3 linked regions of the Neurospora crassa OR74A genome follow. The protein of the gene in region 3 interacts with the protein of the main gene of each other region in a biochemical or structural test. Links are inferred from orthologs where the notes say so. Each region holds a gene or a part of one and is shown on either strand. Other genes may lie near its edges. The genes, in order: NCU03702, NCU16757 and prm-1.

Region 1 (3,747 bases), on a different chromosome or scaffold from region 3:
TAAATAATCCTCAAAGCCATGTAATGACTGGCTTGCAGTACCCTTGCGTCCCCAGGCCCAAACAATCTCCTTTGAAACTCGAATGGCCAGAATAGTCTCAGTTTTCGACGTGATACCCTGATGAAAGGGGAGGGACTCTCAGTTCGCAGATTTCAAACGCCATAAAGACGAACCAAGCTGTCGAGCATTTTAAGCGCCGATAAAAGCAACCTCTGCTTGACTATCCAGCGCCCTTCTCGTTCTTAGGGTGATTGACTGGTGATCGTTCTTGATGTGTTGTAGGCTGGCCAATTTCGCTGGTGAACAGGAGGTTCGTTGCGCGGTGACTTAGGAGTCGTGACGAGATCGTGAAAGGCGGCGTAAGATGGAAGCAACCGGGGTCACTCCGGATATCAGTCTAAGAACCCTGGTGCTTTATTCCCACAATGCTAAAACAAGGCAGATACCCAAACGCCATTCGCCGTTCCAGATTTACAAAACCATCCTGCCAGTAGAACACCGAATTATGTGAAGGTTCCAGAACAGAGCAACGAAGATAGAACAGTACTAATTCGAAACTCAGTTATCGACGAACTCCTTCTGCTGGTAGACGCAAGAAACCATGGCGTGGTCACGCTCGTAAGGCTCTGTGGGTGATTGTTAGTTATTGTTGGCTCTATCAACCAAAAGGGAAGCGGATGGACGTACCAAGAGTCAACTGCTCCTTGGGGAAAAACTTGTCCTCACGGAGCTTCTGGACCTCAGAGGCGAAGACCTGCTCGGGAGGAGCAGTGGAGTCAATGCAAGAAGCCTTGATAGAGATGAGAAGACCACCACCCTGCTTCAAGAAGAGCTTGGCGTTGATGCCGACAATTCTGAAATGTGTTAGTGTCAGGCACATACAGTGTCAAGGATCTGTATAAGTCGGCTTACCTGGCCTGATCGGGCTGGGCAACATCGGCGAAGATGACATCGACCATGGGGAGCAGCATGCGGTAAGCCATGGGCTTACGGGCATCCTCAACGATGGGGATGACGTTGGTGCGGCGAGTAGCCATGTTGATGAGGTCACGGCCGGAACGGTGAGAGAACTCGACGGCGTAAACGGAACCAGTAGGACCGACGATATCGGCAACGTGAGAGACCGAGGTACCGGAGGCAGCACCGAGGTAGAGGACCTTGGAACCAGGCTTCATATAGATGGTTTCAAGACCACCGAGGATACCGGCAGCAAGCTTCGAACGGAAAGGGTTCCAAATCTGCAAAGTCCAATGTTAGTCTTTGTCTGAGGCCACAAGCTGGAAAGCCTGGAAAACGTACGCGGTACTCAGTCTTGGTGGAAGCACCACCTTCCTCCTTAGAGGCGTTCTCGACAGAGATTCTCTTCTCGCCATAGACGGACTCGCCAGGGACAAGGTTGACGGTAGCGAGGAGATCCTCCTTACCACCACGAGCGACGAAGACGCCCTTGTGACGGTGAGGCTCGACGATGACCTTCTTGCCAGCAGCACCACCCTTGGCGCCACCGCGGGCACCACCGCGACCACGGGTAGCACTATACTCATAATGTCAGTCAATGTCTTTGGAGTAATCAAGGGTTTTGAACACAAGACGTACCCGCCACGGCCACCACCGCGAGGACCGCCACGACCACGGGGAGCACCACCACCACGGCCGCCTGTTAAGTCATTGTCAGTAAAGTGTTGCGTTAATGTGGTTGCTGTTGCCATCGCATGTTGAGTCGAGTTGCGATATGAAGTTCGACTGAAATCGCCATCCTACTACGAGAAGTCAAGAGGCATGCATGGCGACCACGGGCCGCAGCAGACGCAGAGACATCTCTCAAGATGACGAACAGAAGCAACGACATAACCGCAAAGACCATTCAGGCGATGGCATTGAGGCCAAACTCACCACCGAAGCCACCACGGCTACCGCCACGGGCGCCGCCTCTGCCACCACGATCACCACCGAATCCACCACGACCACCGCCACGGGCGCCGCCTCTGCCACCACGCTCGAAGCCCATTTTTATAGAATGTGTCGGTATTGATAAGTCGGAGTCGGTATGAGTTGCGATTCTGGGCCGAAACGCGTTGTAAGATCAGTCGTGCGAGGCACAATGGGTTTAGAGTTGTCGCGCGGCGCTGTCGAGGACTCGGAAAAGAGCTTTTGCTGGAGCTGGGTGCAAAATTTCCTGGACATGGATTGAAAGAAAAAAAAGCGGGGCACGAAGTCTCATCGCTGGAGCACTTTTTTTTCCGGTCGAGGCCTTCTGCCTTTGCAATTGGCTGTCGTCCTGGCGTGGCGGTCGAGGCTCTCCAGTTTGTTGCGGATGCTATCGTGCACGGCCGGCAGTCCAGGAGGCAGGCTGTTATCGGCGCTAGCACTTACTGTCCCCGCGTGCACGTGCCTCAGGCAAAGTGACGGTCCGCACGAGCCACCTGCGCAGTGCCCACAGAGCCCTAATCGCGAAAATCGGTTTTTGTACGCCAAAATTGGAACCCATCACCACCTCTGAACATCACACTTGGTCGATTCCCCGTCCTCTCATCGACAAGCAGGCAAGATGGTGAGTAAATCCCTGCGAAATCCGCCGAACGAGAGAATCGCCGCCGTTATTTTGCTTCAGGACAGTTTTCGGGCTTCTGCAGCCGAAATGACGACGAAAGTCTCAACGGACGACAATGACGGCTTTGCGAGCATTGCGAGCACTTGGAGGAGAGGGAATCGCTGACCGAGTCTTGTTCAAAATCGCAGGTTCGGTACGCTGCGACTGAGATTGCCCCGGCTAAGTCCGCCCGCTCGCGCGGCTCTTACCTCCGTGTCTCCTTCAAGAACACCCGTGAGACCGCCCAGGCCATCAATGGCTGGAAGCTCCAGCGTGCTCAGAAGTTCCTCGAGAACGTTCTTGAGAAGAAGGAGGCTGTCCCCATGAGACGCTACGCTGGTGGCACCGGCCGCGCCGCCCAAGGTACGACTTACTCGATATTTACATGCACAAACACACCCGAACCGGTACATCATGCGACGACGACGACGACAGTGGGGAGGACAAAGTGGCGGGGGAATAGGGGGGCATTGTCAGCATGATGGAACCGCGACCGACCGACACGAAACCGCAATCGAATGGAGGACATAGAAGACACGGTGCTGACCGTTTCTTCGTCATATAGGCAAGCAGTTCGGTGTTTCCCGCGCCCGCTGGCCCGCCAAGTCCGCCGAGTTCCTTCTCGGTCTCCTCAAGAACGCTGAGGCCAACGCCGATGCCAAGGGTCTTGACACTGGCAACCTCGTTGTCAAGCACATCCAGGTCAACCAGGCCCCCAAGCAGCGCCGCCGCACTTACCGCGCTCACGGTCGCGTACGTCAAACCCGGAGATACCCCCCTGATTTCTGCTTCTGCGCCGGCAGATAGACGATCAAGCCGGTCATTGGCTAACAGTTATGTTTTAGATCAACCCCTACATGTCCAACCCCTGCCACATCGAGCTCATCCTCACTGAGGCCGATGAGGTCGTCCAGAAGTCCGAGGCCGTTGTCCGCGAGGAGGCTCACCTTTCCTCCCGCCAGCGTGGCGCTCGCGTCCGCCGTGCCATCACTGCCGCTTAAATGCGCTTTGATAGCTAGGTGATTGGACGAGGGGATGTTTTGATTGAGGGCTTCACTTTTTTTCCGGAACGGTGTACGCGAGCATGGCATTTTTCGGGTCAAGGTCACGATTCCAGGGAAAAAGGGGTCGATCATGAATACTCAATAAAAGAATTT
Region 2 (3,747 bases), on a different chromosome or scaffold from region 3:
CACAGCAGGCCTACTCATGAAACGGGGTCGAGGATGAAGACTCGGCAGAAGCTATCGGCTCCTGGAAGTGAGTACTTAAGCACTCAGCCGAGCATCGTGAACCAAAGTTGTCCATGGCCGAAACAGCTACTCTAATCACAGCCAAGCACCTACCTTCACATCACGATGCTGTCCAGATCTGCCAAAGACACGGTCTGGTTCACCGTTGTCTGCTTCCTTGCACTCATTACTTCTGTTTTCGCGAAATGTACCCGGGAGGGACTGCTAGCAGCAGCCAACAGTTATGTAGACGCCTTCTCCGCCGGCAGACTTGACGGCCTCCAACTCACCTTGAGCAACTTTGCCTACCAGGAAAACAACAAGGCAGCCGACATCAAGCGCGGCATCCTCAGCCAGTCGCACAACATCAGCCTCAACCGATCAACGGCCGACACCATTGCCTGCGCCAGCTACACCATGATCATCTCATTGGCGAGCGGTTCCAACTCCAAGCCCTATGTCACGGCAACCCAGATCCGTCATCCAGCCGATGGAGACACATCAACCATCTCATCTATCGACACCATCGCTGCCACGACGGGGTCCTTGTTCTTCAACGCCCAAAAGACGTTCGGGTACATCCAGAAGGAGAACTGGGGCGTCATTGAGACGGCGGCGAATCGGCCAAGTCGAGAACTGTTGAGAAAGGTCGGGGATGCTTATCTCGACATGTGGACGGATGCAAAGGCGGCTGATAGTATTCCATGGGGGGCCGACTGTGAACGCGTTGAAGGATCGCAGTATACCAGACCGTGTGGTGTTCAGTTACCGAGAGGAGGCAGTTCAAAGCGCAACGGAAATCGGCGATATGTCATCGATGAGGTGATGGGTTCGGTTGACGTGCTGTGCTCGTTTGATGCGCTGGGGAATATGCCGGATAGCCATGAGATCCGGGTCGAGGGCGGTGAGGTCAAGTATGTCCATACGATTACGGTAATTTCAGAGCGTCGTGTAGTGTGATGAGGCGAACAGCTGCTGTACTTGAAGCTGCAAAATGCATCGATGAAGTCGGAAAGTGTTCCCGTCAAACTGTTACAGGGCTGCACAAAGTGATGTCGAAATCCCCACATTCGCGTTTCTTAGGGCCCCGGGCACGGACCCACAGCCCACAGCAGCCACTAACCCTGGTCCATCCACAATTCGCATTGAGCCAATGCGCCGCCAGGAACCGTTTGAAAATGGGACTGGCTTAGGTGGGGTGGTGGACATCTGCAGACGATTGCCGGCCGGGAAAAATTGCTACTCTTTCAGTCTTCCAGGAACACGGAAAAATTTCAATTGTCTGCGCCGGCGAAACGATCATTGTCAACATCTCACTCCGAACCCGACGGTCCTCCAATTCACTGACGCGCGAGGAGACGCAAGACGCACCCTTGCCGTATTCCCATTTCAACAAACAACCCAATCCAACCAACAAATCATGTCTTTCAGAGGTCGTGGAGGAGGTGGTGACCGCGGTGGCCGTGGCGGCTTCAGAGGTACGCCGCATTATTCTTCTATTATCAACCGTTATCGCACACCTTGATGTCGTCGCCTTGGTCGCACTTTGCCGTCAACCATTGGCGCCACTCAGGGCGATTTACCTTTTCACCCATACTTCTTCCCCAATGTTCAATGACAACTAACATAGATATCCTACAACAGGCGGCCGTGGTGGCTTCGGTCAGCGCGACGATGGTCCCCCCGCCCAGGTTCTCGAGCTCGGCACCTTCGAGCACGCCGTCGAGGGCGAGATGTTCTACAAGTCCACCAACCCCAAGATCCCCCATTTCAACGCTCAGGTCTTCCTTGAGAACAAGACCCCCATCGGCAAGATCGATGAGGTTCTCGGTCCTCTCAACCAGGTGCGCACTTCCCTCCGAAACATGAACCATAGCACATCAAATTAACACTCCTCTCCTTCTTTCAGGTTTACTTCACCGTCAAGCCCCAAACCGGCATCGTCGCTACTTCCTTCAAGCCCGGCGACAAGGTCTTCGTCGGCTCCGAGAAGCTCCTCCCTCTCGAGCGTTTCCTCCCCAAGCCCAAGGTTCTCGGCGCCCCCAAGGTGAAGAAGGCTGGCCGTGGTGGTGCTGGTGGTCGTGGCGGTCCCAGAGGCGGTGCCCGCGGTGGCGGCCGTGGCGGCTTCTCCTCTCGCGGCGGCGGCGGTGGCTTCTCTCGCGGTGGTGGTGGTGGCTTCTCCCGCGGCGGCGGTGGTGGTTTCAGCAGGGGCGGCGGTCGCGGTGGCAGCGGCGGCTTCTCGAGGGGTGGTGGTGGCCGTGGTGGCGGCGGTTTCTCCCGCGGTGGCGGCCGCGGTGGTCGTGGTGGCTACTAAGCGGTTGCGAAGGAGTGACGACGACGACGACGACGAAGACACCAACCAGTGGTGCTGCTGCTGGCGCTGCTTGGAAAGGAAAGGGAGCGGAAGAAAGACTTGTTGCTTTACCAGGTTCTTGGGTTTTGTTAAACATGGTCCTCAAAATGGCTATGGCTTGTGGCGTTATGGAAGGGACAAATTCTTTCTGCCGCATCAGGAGGGTTCGGCAAGTTGTGTTTTTATCTCTGTAGGCATCTCTCGGTTTTCTCTGTCTGCTAATTTCGGTTTCTTTGGACTACAACACATCAAACTGAGCGCATCTGGATCTGGCTTCACAAGCCTTCACGTTGACGGTGGATGAAATTGGGGCATTAAAATGTCCTTGGCACAGGCACCAGGTCATGTTCGGACAGACAGCTATGTGTCCGGTCACTTGCGTACAATCAAGGGCAGTACCCAGTTGTATACGTCACCGCCGCCGTCGAATGGGATCCTCAAAGATGCACGACATCCTCCTGAACCTCGGGTTGGACTGGATTTCGGTAGCCTAGCTGGGTAAGCAGAGGCCCCAGTCCAATATGATCGACCATGCAGCAACCACACATCGACCGCATATCGAGCGCCAACCCGTCAGATATAGCACCGACTGAACCCCAAGCATCAACGGCCCGCAACTGACCCCTTCGAACGACGAACCTCTCGCAACCCGAAACCTCTTCTTCGTCTTCACCCACTCCGTCCGAGGTGTTCCTACCCATCATTCTTCCAACGCCGCAACTTCCACAACACCCCTCGCGAAAAAGAATCAAGAATTGTCGAGCCTCTTCGTGCCTATTTCCGCCGACTATGCGCACAACAGGTCACGAGCCGTTACCAATGTACCCAGACAGCAGCGCATGGTTGTCCGCCTCCCCGTCTTTCCGGCATTTTGCCATTGGCTTGAGTGGCTGCTTGGGTCATTATGGCTTGTGACTCTAAAGGGCCCGTGCAGGCTGCGGTCCGTGTGGACTGAGGTTGACCCGTGGTGGTGGACTGTTAGTTCCGGCGCATGTCCTTGTAACCTTGTTCAGCGATAGCCGTATATAGATCAAAACGCAACTCGACCTTCCCCTAACGATGTCAATTGTTGAGGCCCCTTCACTAACTCGTTCCTCCATATCATTACATCATTTGCATGCATAGGTATCATCTCTCCAGGATTGCAATATGGCTGACGACTCTGAGCCTCAGGACAGCAAACTCTCCACAGCCGCAAACATTGTCGGCCTCCTCACTTTCACACTTGCGGCGCTCAATCTGGTGATTGTCCGAGTTCTACAAAACGAAAGAAGCATAGTCAACCAACTCCGGAAAAGGGGGTGGAGGAATTCTCTCAATGCCTTGGAACAAAAGATACGTTACATTCGGCTCTT
Region 3 (3,747 bases):
CGGGTCCTGACGACTGGATCGGCAAGCGCAGCGGATTCCCCAAGGAGTTTTTCAACATTTGCCAGACCATCTTCCTCCAGATGTTCCGCGTCTACGCTCACCTTTACTGGGCCCACTTTACGGAGCCCTTCTACCATTTGAACTTGGAGAAGCAACTCAACAGCTGTTTCAGCCATTTTGTGCTGACAGCGACCGCCCTCGATATGCTCAAGCCGGCCGAGCTTGAGCCAATGCAGCCTTTGATTGATCTCTGGGCCGCCAATGGTACCTTTCCACCGGAATCGAAGGCTTATGAGTACGCCAACTTGAAGGTTGGCACTCGCCTGATGCAGATGGCAGGCCTGGCTTAATTACAGGAGCATGAAGAAAACAAGGGGATGTTATGGGGAAAAACAGAGCATATCATGATGAGGCTTGTCAACATGTGGAGTATCCTGATCTATCTCGGTTATGTTGGGTTACTCTAGAGGATAGATAATGGCCATGTGTACATTGAACGGGAGTTAGATGTGGCAGGCCAGAAAAGCGATGGATGAGGAGACTAATACCAAGACGAAAAGTATCACTATATATATCTGGGCGTTTGCTGAAGGAAAATGGCTTGTCCTTACTGGGATGCTGACTCGAGAGGGCAAGGGGCAGTTAGATCTCTTAGTCGCTTGAGTGTTCGAAAGAAGGTTGAGAAGTGATGGCTCATTTATCATGGATCTGAATGGCGTTGAAAGGGAAATGCCAGATCTCTACAATACAACACCCTTCAAGATATCCAAACCCACGTTGGGGTTACACCTGATGTCAGATACATCAATGGGAGCACGGGCTAGACCTAGCGCCAAAGTGGCAAGCACCAGGGGAGGGGGCCAGTGAGGTGGAGTGCTCCAAAAAGGGTCCAAAAGGGCCCATCAGCGGCCCAGACTGCCAAGACCGAGCTAGGCACGCCAGATCCAAAAGGGGACAAGCCTGGAGATGGGACGGCGTCGCGGGGGGCAAGAGATCGGATAATGCGATAAAGCGGTTTCAGTTGTAGTCCCCATGTTCGGGGGGCCCGGCGCGCAGACTGTACTAGTGTACTAGGTACATAGTAGGTTGTGCCAGGCGTGCCTGTCAGTGCCTGCGCGGATGTCGGACAGCCCTGTACCTACGCGTGTAAGTGAGGTGTCGGGCCCGTGTGGGTGACGACTCGGGCGGGTACTCTTGCGGGCAGGCGGGAAAGCCCCCCAGGACCCCACCCCACCCAGGAACTGCCTCCCTCTCCATCTCTGGAGCCCAGCACAACCCAAGTTGAAGTGGGGTATGGATCTGATTTGGCAACCCAATCTCTGACGGGGCCAGGCAAAAAGTTGAGGCAAGGAAAGGCCATGCTGGACCCGTCTGGGCAATTGCCATTGCGGCACACGAAGAAAACTTCACAAGCATCAGGCTCCCCTTCGAACCTGCCTCTCCATCCTCCTTCCCACTTTTTATCTCCATCGCTGAGCTGCCCTGCAAATTTTCCAGCTTTACATTTTCCTCTTCTTTGATTCCTTTTGGTTTCTTTACACCAATTCATCTTTTATTCTTGTCTGTTTTCCCATACACAAACAGCACCAACAGCAGCATCAACAACAGTCAAGATGGCGGCCAACGATCAGATGGACATTGAGGTTGCCGAGCAGAAGCTCAAGAGCATGGATCACGCCGAGCAGCACTACTTCAACAGGTACGAACATGACCGTCTCGTCTCTTCTCGTTGTTGTTATATGGTGGTAGAGACAGATCAAAGCTAACATGACTTCGTTCTCTAGCTATAACCACCATGGTGAGACACCTCCATCCGCTTATCGCGGGGTCCACGGACTGCGCGCTTCCTAGTTGGCCTCGTGGCCGTTCATAGTCTGACTGTTGCTAACCTGGACCTGTTGCGCGACAAAGGCATCCACGAGGAAATGTTGAAGGACGAGGTCAGAACCAAGTCATACATGCACTCTATCGTCCAGAACAAGCATCTCTTTAAGGACAAGATCGTTCTCGATGTCGGTTGCGGTACTGGTATCCTCTCCATGTACGTCCCCACTCCCTGCATCACGCAAACCTGCAGCTCTGGCGGTCCTGGAATGCGCCGAGCACTGCAATCCAAAAACGGTGGAACAGCCTGCTAACCGTCTTCTCTTCTCACAGGTTTGCCGCTAAGGCCGGCGCCAAGCACGTTATTGGTGTTGACATGTCCACCATCATCTTCAAGGCTCGTGAGATTGTCAAGGTCAACGGTCTCTCCGACAAGATCACCCTGATCCAGGGCAAGATGGAGGAGATCGAGCTTCCCTTCCCCAAGGTTGACATCATCATCTCTGAGTGGATGGGTTATTTCCTCCTCTACGAGTCCATGTTGGACACTGTCCTCTACGCCCGTGACCGTTACCTGGCTCCCGGCGGTCTTATCTTCCCCGACAAGGCTACCATCTTCATTGCTGGTATCGAGGACGGTGACTACAAGGATGAGAAGATTGGCTGTATGTTTCCTGCCCCTGGTTTTTTTGCTTTCGATTTTGTGAAGAACTTCCTACTGACACCGGTTTACCAGTCTGGGACAACGTCTACGGATTCGATTACAGCCCTCTTAAGGAGACTGCTCTCTCCGAGCCTCTTGTCGACACTGTTGACGTTAAGACCGTCGTCACTGACCCCGTCAACATCTTGACTCTCGACCTTTACACTTGCACCACTGCCGACCTGGCTTTCAAGACCAACTTCGAGCTCGTCGCCAGACGCGATGACTTCATCCACGCCCTTGTCGCCTGGTTCGACATTGACTTCACTGCCTGCCACAAGCCCATCCGCTTCTCGACCGGTCCCCACACCCAGTACACCCACTGGAAGCAGACCGTCTTCTACCTCAAGGACGTCCTCACCGTCCAGCAGGGCGAGAAGGTTCAGTGCTCGCTCCACAACCGCCCCAACCAGAAGAACAAGCGTGATCTTGATATCACCGTCGATTACAAGTTCGAGAACCAAGACCCCACGAGGCAGGCTGAGGGCAGGTGCTTGTACAAGATGTGCTAGTATTTTATTTGATTGCAGATCTGCCGGACAAAAGTGTCGAATCGACGAGTCAAATGGACGATGCGAGCTGAAAAGCCGCCCCTTGTCCATGAGATGGTCGAAGAGATGTGGTTGAGCTCACAGTATTCACGAACGAAGCTTTTGGGGGTATTGGGAATTGCACGGCGTCTTAAAAGAGAAGGGGTTGCTTTTTAACCTGGGTTTTGTGTTTTTCATATATTTTGCTTTTTACGAACTCACTAGCGGGACCAGGGGTTTTCTTAGATATCCAGCAGCGGAAAGGAAGCGCGCGCGGAAGAAAGAAGAGACATACATATAAGGGAACTCTCTTACTCTGTAATACACAGAGAAAACATGAGTCAATGCTTGATTAAAGCACGAAATCACAACGCGATACGTTCGGCCCGCAGGGTTGGGTGCGTGATTGCAAAAGCATCCGGAAGATAACATCAACGGAATGCTCATAACTGATCACAATGAGATATCATGAGATAGTGATGCTGAATACTTGATGCGATACCCAACGGAGAAAGAGTTGAGTACGAGTTGTATAGTTTGTTAATTTGTTGAAAATGGAGAAATCTCGACCTATACCACAACAAGGCATGATTTTCTGATGTTCCCGTCAGACGAAGTTGAATTGAACACCCGCACTTTAATCAACCGACCAAAGTCGAAATGAACTTTGCTGAGGTTGGTGGTAGTAAG

Evidence for each region.
Region 1: of the proteins of prm-1 (region 3) and NCU03702, one has a biochemical effect on the other in vitro, tested with the Saccharomyces cerevisiae proteins (3 studies listed by BioGRID). The link is inferred for Neurospora crassa OR74A from reciprocal best matches to the Saccharomyces cerevisiae genes HMT1 and NOP1.
Region 2: of the proteins of prm-1 (region 3) and NCU16757, one has a biochemical effect on the other in vitro, tested with the Saccharomyces cerevisiae proteins (2 studies listed by BioGRID). The link is inferred for Neurospora crassa OR74A from reciprocal best matches to the Saccharomyces cerevisiae genes HMT1 and GAR1.

Annotation. Positions count from the first base shown.
Region 1 is NC_026505.1:2,139,952-2,143,698, forward strand, and holds the start of NCU03702 (rRNA methyltransferase NOP1), read right to left. Parts: upstream 2,296-3,747; 5' UTR 2,009-2,295; coding exon 1,894-2,008; intron 1,658-1,893; coding exon 1,597-1,657; intron 1,535-1,596; coding exon 1,300-1,534; intron 1,239-1,299; coding exon 913-1,238; intron 855-912; coding exon 688-854; intron 627-687; coding exon 559-626; 3' UTR 1-558. Other genes in the region: NCU03703 (60S ribosomal protein L17), read left to right, coding at 2,549-2,551, 2,740-2,953, 3,156-3,343, 3,436-3,591.
Region 2 is NC_026504.1:1,399,967-1,403,713, forward strand, and holds NCU16757 (H/ACA ribonucleoprotein complex subunit 1), read left to right. Parts: upstream 1-1,278; 5' UTR 1,279-1,459; coding exon 1,460-1,517; intron 1,518-1,683; coding exon 1,684-1,883; intron 1,884-1,948; coding exon 1,949-2,353; 3' UTR 2,354-3,469; downstream 3,470-3,747. Other genes in the region: NCU16756 (hypothetical protein), read left to right, coding at 166-999; NCU07902 (hypothetical protein), read left to right, coding at 3,542-3,747. UniProt on the Saccharomyces cerevisiae protein: Non-catalytic component of the H/ACA small nucleolar ribonucleoprotein (H/ACA snoRNP), which catalyzes pseudouridylation of rRNA and is required for ribosome biogenesis.
Region 3 is NC_026501.1:554,615-558,361, forward strand, and holds prm-1 (protein arginine N-methyltransferase 1), read left to right. Parts: upstream 1-1,349; 5' UTR 1,350-1,613; coding exon 1,614-1,699; intron 1,700-1,784; coding exon 1,785-1,798; intron 1,799-1,911; coding exon 1,912-2,041; intron 2,042-2,157; coding exon 2,158-2,489; intron 2,490-2,560; coding exon 2,561-3,039; 3' UTR 3,040-3,636; downstream 3,637-3,747. Other genes in the region: mob-2b (protein kinase activator), read left to right, coding at 1-350. UniProt on the Saccharomyces cerevisiae protein: S-adenosyl-L-methionine-dependent protein-arginine N-methyltransferase that catalyzes both the mono- and asymmetric (type I) dimethylation of the guanidino nitrogens of arginine residues in a variety of RNA-binding proteins such as heterogeneous nuclear ribonucleoproteins (hnRNPs) and small nuclear ribonucleoproteins (snRNPs).